2 linked regions of the Caenorhabditis elegans genome follow. The protein of the gene in region 2 purifies or fractionates together with the protein of the main gene of each other region. This does not show direct contact. Each region holds a gene or a part of one and is shown on either strand. Other genes may lie near its edges.

Region 1 (5,125 bases), on a different chromosome or scaffold from region 2:
GACATTAAATCCTCATCATCTTCTTCGTTTTCTTGTTGTTCAGAATCAACTTTCTTTTTCCGTTTTTCGGGTTTTCCAGTTTTGTTCTTCGTCACCTCTCCGTTCATTTTCTTCATTTTTTCTGAACCACCAGCAGCTTCACCAAGCGATTGAATATTCGAACCACGAGTTTTCCCATTACTTGAAAGATATTCACAAGCCGCGCGATGTGCTTTTTTTAAATCAGAATTTGCATTTTCCGGAAGAGGTTCGGTGGTGACTAGTGCGTATGTTAACTGAAATTCGAGAATAGTTGCATCGTGTTTTCGGTAATTTTGATCTTACTTTTGGAGCACAACTGAATCGGCTTCTTTTCGTTTCATCGACACCAGGCGCCAAAGGGAAAAAGCTGTAGCTGACTTTTTTGGGATAAGCATTATTGACCTGTAAAAAGAGTTCGTTGAGGCAGAAAGGGAATATTGTATTTTTATCTTCAGTTTTCTATAAAAAAAACGAACCAGTGCTGGCCACATAGGATCTTTTCTGTATGGAACCCAAATGACATCTCCTTTTGAAATATTTTCTGAAATATCGTGAATTTAGTTATGTATTTCCAAAAACTAAACTAACGTGCGATCACAGCGTTTAAATTGGGCATCGTATATAAATTATTCTGAAATTAATGATAAAAGTCGAAAACCCTTGAGAAATTTTCGAAAAATACAAATTTACGGCTAAATTACCAAGAAAAGACGATGAAAGCTCCTGAAATCAAAATTTCAACACTTACTGTTGAATAATAAAAATAAAAACCGTTTATGAATTGAGCAATAAATTGAAAATCACTAAAAACGGGGAAAGTTGATTTGGCGGGGAAACACTGGCACTTGATAATGAAATAGAGGGGAAAAGAATAACCGAGAAATTTTTAAAAAAATTGAGTATTCACAGAAGAAATATGATTTTGAGTATTAAAAAATTATTTTTGGATTAGAAAAAAATCTTCTAAATATTCACGTTCACTATCCACTAAACAGTCTAAAATTAGCGGTATCTAAAAAAACAAATGCAGTAAAAATTAAAGTCAAATCGAAATAGAAAAAAAACAAATCATGAGAAAATATATTTTTGGCGGTAAGAAAAGAGAGAGTTCCATTGATTATCGTTTTAGATGACCCACAAGTTCCAGAACTTTTTCATAAGTGGTGAACGAGACTCCGACTGCAATTGGTCCTTTCAGCCAATTCATGCTCAATCCTTTGTACAATCCTCGTTTCAAACCCTCTGAAAATTTGATGTTTTTGTATTGTTTGCTGTATAGTTTATTCTAGTAAAGCCCACTCAAATATTGTGAATTGTTCGGAGTTTTATGTGTAGCTATAAAAAATTACTTTAGAAATTCCAAAATCTTGTTTTAGAGGTGGACGGCGGCAATTATTGAAAAATCATAAATATTGCGCCATGTTCACCCCATATATTTTTTTTAGAAAATCGTAGTATAGAAAATCACTTAAATTATCCAAAAAGTTGATATTTGCCCAAAAACAAAGTTAGATAACTCGATAATCAGTAATTGACAACTTTCAGATCATTTTTAAGCACTTTCTCAAATTTTTCAACTGGAATTAATTTGATTTTCGGACACATCAAGTGATTTTCTATACTTTGACATTGAATTTCAATTAAAAAAATGTTGGAACAAGCAGGTTATTTTGTTTAATTGCAACCGCCCATTTCTGATAGAACTATATTGTCATTATAGTAAGGTTTAAAAAAAACTATAATTCAAAAAATAGTCATACCCGTATGATAAATATGAATTAGAGCTCTAAGAGGACTCCATCCACTCGGAATTCGCCCTGTTTGCATCCGCCTTCTCACAATATCGAGTGGATATGACGATGATTGACCGATCAAACCAGCTAACATTCCAAATAACATTCGGTAGTAGGAATTTTCCTGAATTATCATACATAATAACGTATAGAAATAATTTCTCAACTCACAACTTCACCTCTATGATCTCGATACATAATCTTAAGAGTTTCGTATGTGAAGAAGGAAGATCCAGCGTATGGTATTACTCCTGTAATCAACAAAAATCGATAAGAAAGATGTTTTTCATAAGAATTCCTACCTAGTATAGTTGGATAAATCCCTCTGTACAATAGTTGAATACCACCTTCTTTATATGTTTTTACAAAAACATGTTTCAAAGAACTATATTGTAATTTTGAAGAGACTGAAAGACGAGCTTTTGCGGTGTCTAAAGGATAAGTGATCATTGTAGCTGTTGTGGCGGCAAGAGAACCTGTTATATATCGTTTCACGGGTGTTCGACTTCTGGAAATTAACATTTTGAAGTTAAATTTGCCACCTCGGTGTGAAAAAAACTTTAAAACTCACCCATTTTCGTCAACTTTCAGCAATTTTTTATACTGCTCGAAGGCTGCGAATTGCATCGACGCGTATGGCACAACACGAGCCATCGTCGCAGAATTTCCACGATACAATGCAAAGAATCCATTTTCCCGATATGTTAGTTTTATGAATTTAATGGCAGATCGGAATGAGTAACCACGTGTACTTGAAACTGGAACATACAAAAAATTAGGTGTATTTTCGATTGTTTCGAAGTGACATAATTCTTACCTTGAAAATAAATTTTAGTTCGATCCAAAGGTGCGATTGTAGTTTTGGCTAAAGCTCCGGCGATCGCGCCTGCGGATAGTGACAAAACGACACTGGGCCTCTGTTTTCCCTGAAAATATGATTTTATGACAGAGATGTTCCAAAATTTATTTAAAATCTTACCTCATTTGAGTCGTGCGGCATGAAAATTGCAAAAAAATCACGAGTCTTTGCTGGTTTTTCTAGTTGGAATGATACAAAGTCAACGATTTATCTGCAAGATCATCATGTGTTATTGGATATAAATTCACATAATTAACATAACAAAACGATTCAAAAACGAAATTTCAAAGAATGTCTAGAGTATCATACTGGGAGCAAAGAATTTCAAGGTGAAGAGTAATGAAAAAAGTGATGTGTGATTTTTCTCTGGCGTCTCTTTATCTTCCTTACCGATTGTTTACACTTAAAATGTGACTGGCTAGTAGTTGATAGGCGAGCGTTCTTTGACGTCTGCGTCTTAACTAGTTTCTCATTGAGATGTTCGTTTTAGACGGTCAAAAATTATAGAAATGAACAAAATATTGTTGTTTTTTAGATTTTTACGATAAAGGCGTGAAAATTTTATAAATTTGATTCAGACGGACTAGTTTTCACACGTTGCAACCGCGCCCCATGGACAAACTGTTTCTAGGCCATCTGTACATTTTTTTTGTAATTTTGTTTTCAAACAATTTTTTCCAGTTTTCAATTCATTTTTTTTAATTTGCTCTTCGTCAATATTTAATTGTGTACTCTAAATTGGTTCAAAATTTAAATATAATTTCAGTTAAAATGGAAGACATCTGGCCAACAATCGAAAGAACAACAATTTCAGCATCTGTGCCCGAGGCTCCAGCGAACTTTGATGAAAAACCTCCGTTCAATCGAACAATCAACGTGTATCCGTTGACTAATTACACATTTGGTACTAAAGATGCACAAGCAGAAAAAGACAAATCAGTTCCAGAAAGGTTCAAACGAATGAAAGACGAATATGAAGTGGTAGGTGTTCTCTAATTGTCTCCAACCGATATCAATTATTTTTTTAGATGGGAATGCGTAGATCAGTTGAAGCGGTGCTTATTGTTCATGAGCACTCACTTCCACATATCCTACTCCTGCAGATTGGTACCACCTTTTATAAATTGTGAGATTAATTCCTATTAAAATCTGAAAGTTTCATAAAAAAATTGCAGGCCGGGTGGAGAATTGGAACTTGGTGAGGATGAGATATCTGGAGTCACACGTCTTCTAAACGAGACACTCGGAAGAACCGATGGGGAGACAAACGAATGGACAATCGAGGATGAGATAGGCAACTGGTGGCGACCAAACTTTGATCCTCCCCGTTACCCGTACATCCCTGCGCACGTGACAAAACCCAAGGAGCACACCAAGCTGTTGCTTGTTCAGTTGCCCTCAAAATGTAAGAGACTGAAAAATTGATAAGATCAAAATTTAAAGTGTCTTCGAATTTTTTCCCTAATTGAAACCTAAGCAGTTTAATGTTTTGTACATTTCAGCAACATTCTGCGTTCCCAAAAACTTCAAACTCGTCGCAGCTCCACTCTTTGAACTTTATGACAACGCAGCCGCCTATGGACCACTGATTTCCTCTCTTCCAACCACTCTTTCGAGATTTAATTTCATTTTCAATGACTCCAACTAAATATTTTTATTATCTGTTACTTTTTGTGTCTTCCTATTTTGTAAATGACCTTGTTCACTCTAATTTTGCTCCTACCAAATCTTCGATTTTGTTATGTATGATCTCTCAAATCGTTAGTATGAATTTAAAAATAAATTATTTCTTCATTTTCATTCGTTGTAATTTAATTCTTCCAACAACAAATATGATGAAACAAATTATGCAGATCGTGGCTTGTATACAAAACACTGTGAAGACGCTTGTTTCGATGGAAATTCTGAAAGAATATTTCATATTACGTAGAAGTTGAGAAAATACGCCATATCTTACGGTCTTGGGTCTCGCCACGCGGACAACCAGTTATTGTAATTGAATCTTGATATTCAAATTAAATGATAATTTCTGACATTATTTTTAAAAAAGTTGCTAGCGTGGTGAGACCCATGCGCGAGACTCATGCCTCTTTAATTTAAGCAGGAAATAAAATACAATAGAAAAGTAACTAAAGAAAACGTAACTAAAGAAGTAACTAAAGAAAGAAAACTAACTTACCTATCAAACTTCATATTGTTAATTCTTGATACGGACGTTGTTGTTTCAGTGTTTCAGATTGAATATAGCGAATTTTTCGTTCAAAATGGATGAACGGCTCACAAAACTTTCAATTCACATTTAGAAATACATTGAGAAATAACAAACTCAAAGAAATAAATGATTACAATTCAATAATTTTTTTGAAATCAGATTCTTTGACGCGAGTGAATCGAAATTAATGATAAGATTCATTTTCGATTTTCTTCAGTTTTCAATCAAATCGGATTGAGC
Region 2 (4,774 bases):
TATCTACTATACAGCAGCCGAGTGATACATTTAAATTCGTTTGTGAATGCTCCATGTACATTTGTGTGATTATCTCTGATCAAAATCTTTCTGCAAACCAAGTACAATATAAATAAACATAGATCTTTTCGAATTCATTTTTTAAGGATACACTAGAGATGGATAGAAACTATGCAGACACACGAAAAAGAAGCTTTTTTTCAATCAAACAAGTTTCCCTGAGAAATTGCAAATATCATTGTGATCTACTAGTATTTGATCTACCCACAAAGTTCAGTTTTCACCTGCAAAATGCCAGCATTTTTTGAAAAATTTTTAAAACGGTATTTGGTTATTCTAGTTCTATAGGAGTGATTTTATACATCATCTCAGCTACTTCACGTTCGTTGGCAAGGTTTTGATGGAAAGTTTCCTGCAATCGTCAAATATATTCAACCCAACTCATATTATGGGAAAAATTCTGAGAATGCGTATTGCGCAGCATATTTAACGCCTAAAATATCTCGAAACGAAAACTACAGTAAGACTTTGAGTGACTACTGTATTTGTTGATTTATGGGTTTCAAAAATAATTCCTTTGAAGCCCGTAAATCAACACGTACAGTAGTCATTTAAAGTCTTACTGTAGTTTTCGTTTCGAGATATTTTAGCCGTTAAATATGTATGTTGCGCAATACGCATTCTCACTATCAGAATTTTGGGTTCTCGTTAACTGGCTGTGATATACCCTAGTTACCTTGAATTGAATTAAATACAAAATTTTATTGATGAAAACCAGGGGCATTAATATCTATGAAGAAATAAAAATCGGAGAAATACAATGCTTCATGATACCAGAAAATAGTTGCAGAGTTATAATCAGCATTTATTGATCACAAGTTGACGGAGGATCATCTGAACGTTAATCTCATCTTCATTTTCCTTATCTTTCTCTTTATCCTTTTCGTCATTTGGCTTTTTCGGAATGGCCAATTTGCAAAACCCCTGTAAATAGTACACATTTCAAAATCCTACATCATATCCACACTCACATTATCCAGTATATGCTCAGCCAAAAGTGTGTAGACAAAAGAAAACTGAGTCAGATTCTGACAAGCATGTATGCGTCCATTGCGAACCTGGAAAATGAATAATTACATTTACATGAGGAGGTTACATGTAAAATCATTACCATCTCCAAGCACTTAACCAGATCCAATGTAGCCTGCTCACTGTGAAGAGAAAGATGGGCGGTCTCGAACAAGGCAAATGTGCCAGCTCTTCCACATCCAGACAGACTCATGTATACAGTTGGAGTTGATGGAGAGTACTTGCGAAGAACTGATTGAAGCTGCCAAATCTGTTTCACAAACTTTGGAGATCCATTTCCGGGTATATTGTTGTGAGGCCATGCATTGTAGTGGTGGATGTGAAGGAATCTTGAGGAATTATTGAGAAAATAGGATTCATAGAAACAAAATAGAACTTACGACTTGTAGTCTCCATTACTAACACTAACAACTTTCAGAACCCATCCATCCATAATCTCAACACGTTTGAACTCTCCAACTCTGATTGAACGTTCTTCGAAATTTAGAAAATCTCTGAAACTCGAAAAATAGAAGTGACACGAACAATGATAAAACTTACTGATTCCTCGGAAACACGAAATCCCCTCCCAAACTATCATATTCAGAGTCGGTGAGCAAAAGGAGCACACACTTGACACGTTGCTCTATAATCATTTGCCAGAAGTCTGCAGATGTGTGCGGCAATGGCAGTTGAGTTAGAATTGCCCGTTTCTGAGTGTCAAGTTCTAAATAACTCGCATGGATATACGATGAATCTGACAAGTGAACTTTCGAATGATCAAGGCAAATAACGTCGGCAAATCGATTTTTGTGCATGTTTTTCACGAACTGATGTTTGGTGACGCTAGGTGGGATGTAGCTGACAACTTGTTCAAAATCATTCTAAATTCAAAAGTTTCTAGATATCTTCTAGTACCATTTAAACTCACAGCTGCAATGTTGGCATCCTCATCCACGAATCGCTTTGCCAATCCTAACCATTTTTGCTTCTTCTCTTCTGTATTTCCATCATCATCTTTTTTCTCATCCTTCTTTTCTTCCTTCTTTCCCTCTTTCTTATCATCTTTTTTCTCATCTTTAATGTCCTTATTATTATCCGACTTTTCATCTAACTTGGTCTTTGACTTGCTCTTTTGTAGCTTATCATCCTTATCTGTCTCCTTGGAAGCCTTCGAAGGTGTCACTTTGTTCGGAGACTGTGGAGCTCCAGGAAGTTGTTGGATTGGGAATGACTTACTTCTTTCTAGATTCTTCACGAGAACTACATCGCCAAGTTGCTGAATTGAAATTTAAAAAAAAATTGCCCTCTTTATAGAGCTTTTTTAGCCTAAAAACAGGCTTTTGACTATATATGTTCAAAATACCCAGAAAATCTGGTCTCAAAACCAACCTCATTAACGACTGGTGGCAATGGCTTCACGACCTTCGAACGTGGCTGCTTATGAGCCGTGGATTTAGATTTACCATGTCCTTTCCTTGACTTTCTACGTTTTTTGCCACGACAGCACAAGAATCCGGTCTTCTTCTTTCCGGAACGCGACTTTCTGTGGTGCTTCCCCCCGTGATGTTTGGCATGTTTCTTCTTATGAGGAGTCGGTGTTTGTGGCGCTGAAATTGATTTTTATAATTCTCCTAATTGAGTATTACTCACTTTGCGGGACGTTGTGCTTCACAATTGGTCCATTTGCATCCATGCTTCGGAGTTTCTTGAAATTTGCAAATTTTGTGATATCGGAAATAAATAGTTTTTTTCAACTCTCCCAATTTGCACATTTTTCTTCAAAAGTTTATTTTCTTCTAAGGTCAATTACGCGTGTAATTTTTATTTATCTTTATTATAAGCATGTCTCTTGGAACGTAGTAGTAGAAAATAAGCTTAATATCAGAAAACAAGTACAAAATGTTGTATTTTTTTTTCTTCTTAATATTGGAAGTTAATAGTCTATGCACTCTTTATTGATTCAATAGATAAAACCATCTTCTGCCAATAGAAAAGTTTTATAAAAGTATAAAATTACAAGAATTTAGTAATCCATTTTACAAAATAAAACGTGAAGGTTCAGTTCTTTATATCTGACGTTTGAATTTATTTTTGAGGAGAAATATCACTCAAACTCAAAAATCAATTATTTCGACTTTATTTTCTGCTCATTTATAGCAGCTTGGAGGTAAGTAATTTTCAAAGAATTTTCAAACGTTTCAGTATTTGAATCTGATTTCAGAACTTACAAATGGCTGATAAAAAATCACCGGTTGCTGTTGGTATGACGGTTACACCATCAAATCAAGCAAATTTCGTTGATGCTGGATCAACTACATTGATGAATAAACCCGGTGAACCGACATTCAAATTGGGTATTAATCTGAATAAAGTGAGTTTGGGAGTGTACATTCGAGGTGACCTAGCCTACCTACGCCAATGTATACTGTTGCGGTGTGAATATTCACAATTCCAGACCAAAGAGGCAGGCATACATCAGACACGATCTTTTAAACGTTTTGTAGTTTTATAGTGAATCGTTTTGCGTTCATTTTCAAAAGCTTCAAGAAACTGAAAAAAAACTCAAATTAATTTTAGGTTGAATTCAAGTGCACAGAAGATCGAAAACCAATATCAGTAAACTTGAAGTTGCACAATCCAATGGCAGTCACTGTTTCGTACAAAGTTCGTTGCACGTCTGCTGATATTTTCCGTGTCCAACCTCCACTGGGATTTGTGAAACCGAATGAGACAGTTTCAATTGTGATTTGGTATCAGAATCAAGATAAGAAAGATGCAATTTCAAAGAATCACTATTTCGCTTTTTACCATACCACCAGCGACGGACGAACTGCTCGTGAATTATGGGCAAATTCGAAAGTTGAAGGTTGGATTCAAAATTGGGATATCTAGTTTTTAATGTATTGTTTCAGGTGTTCGTCGTCTCCCTGCTTCGTTTTTGTCGACTAAGTGAACTTTGAATAAAGATATTGTCATTTCAACAATTGTAAAAATTAGAAGGAACTCTTTTCCCGGTCTCGGCGCGATTTTTTTGGAGATTTTTATCTTACGTTCGAGAAGTGCATAATACCAGCTATAAAATGATTAAATTTAGTTCAAAATTCTAAACGCTCTGCACACCAATCCCTAGTTAAAGGCGAAGTACCGAAATTAGACTAAAACCCCTTGTAAATCGTTCATTTTTGTACATTTTTGGGGTGAGCTTCTATGCCTTTCAACAATCCAAGTACAATCACAGTTAAAATGTGATGTGCGCATAGTGTTTTCGGCGTGGAACGCGCGTGGGAGAAAAAGGAACCGGAAAAAAAATTGCGCGCGCATTGTGCGTCGAACTTGAGATGCATTTTGCGAGCATCGCGAACATAAATTATGGACACATTGTGTTCTAAGTTCTCTTCGAAATTCTCCTCGTTGGTGATCTTTGTCATTTTTCTCTATAAGATCCACAGAGCCAATATGGGCCCATCGCAAACCGTTCGCGATAGGCGCATGACGGGTGGTCGCCACATGCGATGCGCGCATTATGGCTCTTCATCCACTATGCGCACATCTCATTTTAACTGTGTATATAATAAGCTCGTGGATTTTTTTGAATTCGTTTCTTAAGAATCGAGAGAGTTTAAGAATAGACTTTTCATTTTGAAAGAAAAAAAACAACAATAGAAAGTGACAGAAACTATGCAGGACACTATGAAAAAAGAAA

What was found.
Region 1: the proteins of F38H4.4 (region 2) and slc-25A42 fractionate together in Caenorhabditis elegans (co-fractionation; one large-scale study listed by BioGRID). This does not show direct contact.

The regions. Positions count from the first base shown.
Region 1 is NC_003279.8:8,611,949-8,617,073, forward strand, and holds slc-25A42 (Mitochondrial coenzyme A transporter SLC25A42), read right to left. Parts: upstream 3,246-5,125; 5' UTR 3,064-3,245; intron 2,885-3,063; 5' UTR 2,815-2,884; coding exon 2,794-2,814; intron 2,741-2,793; coding exon 2,632-2,740; intron 2,573-2,631; coding exon 2,386-2,572; intron 2,323-2,385; coding exon 2,117-2,322; intron 2,066-2,116; coding exon 1,986-2,065; intron 1,939-1,985; coding exon 1,782-1,938; intron 1,264-1,781; coding exon 1,139-1,263; 3' UTR 777-1,138; downstream 1-776. Other genes in the region: F43G9.4 (PWWP domain-containing protein), read right to left, coding at 1-275, 325-423, 498-562, 610-637; cfim-1 (Cleavage and polyadenylation specificity factor subunit 5), read left to right, coding at 3,445-3,654, 3,702-3,799, 3,849-4,078, 4,176-4,321; F43G9.21 (uncharacterized protein), read right to left, coding at 4,457-4,577, 4,853-4,866.
Region 2 is NC_003282.8:11,846,285-11,851,058, reverse strand, and holds F38H4.4 (Tyrosine-protein phosphatase domain-containing protein), read right to left. Parts: upstream 2,798-4,774; 5' UTR 2,765-2,797; coding exon 2,722-2,764; intron 2,679-2,721; coding exon 2,461-2,678; intron 2,348-2,460; coding exon 2,000-2,347; intron 1,953-1,999; coding exon 1,630-1,952; intron 1,584-1,629; coding exon 1,470-1,583; intron 1,419-1,469; coding exon 1,172-1,418; intron 1,119-1,171; coding exon 1,032-1,118; intron 985-1,031; coding exon 859-984; 3' UTR 750-858; downstream 1-749. Other genes in the region: tag-30 (BTB domain-containing protein), read left to right, coding at 1-25; F38H4.6 (Major sperm protein), read left to right, coding at 3,302-3,442, 3,649-3,937, 3,984-4,024.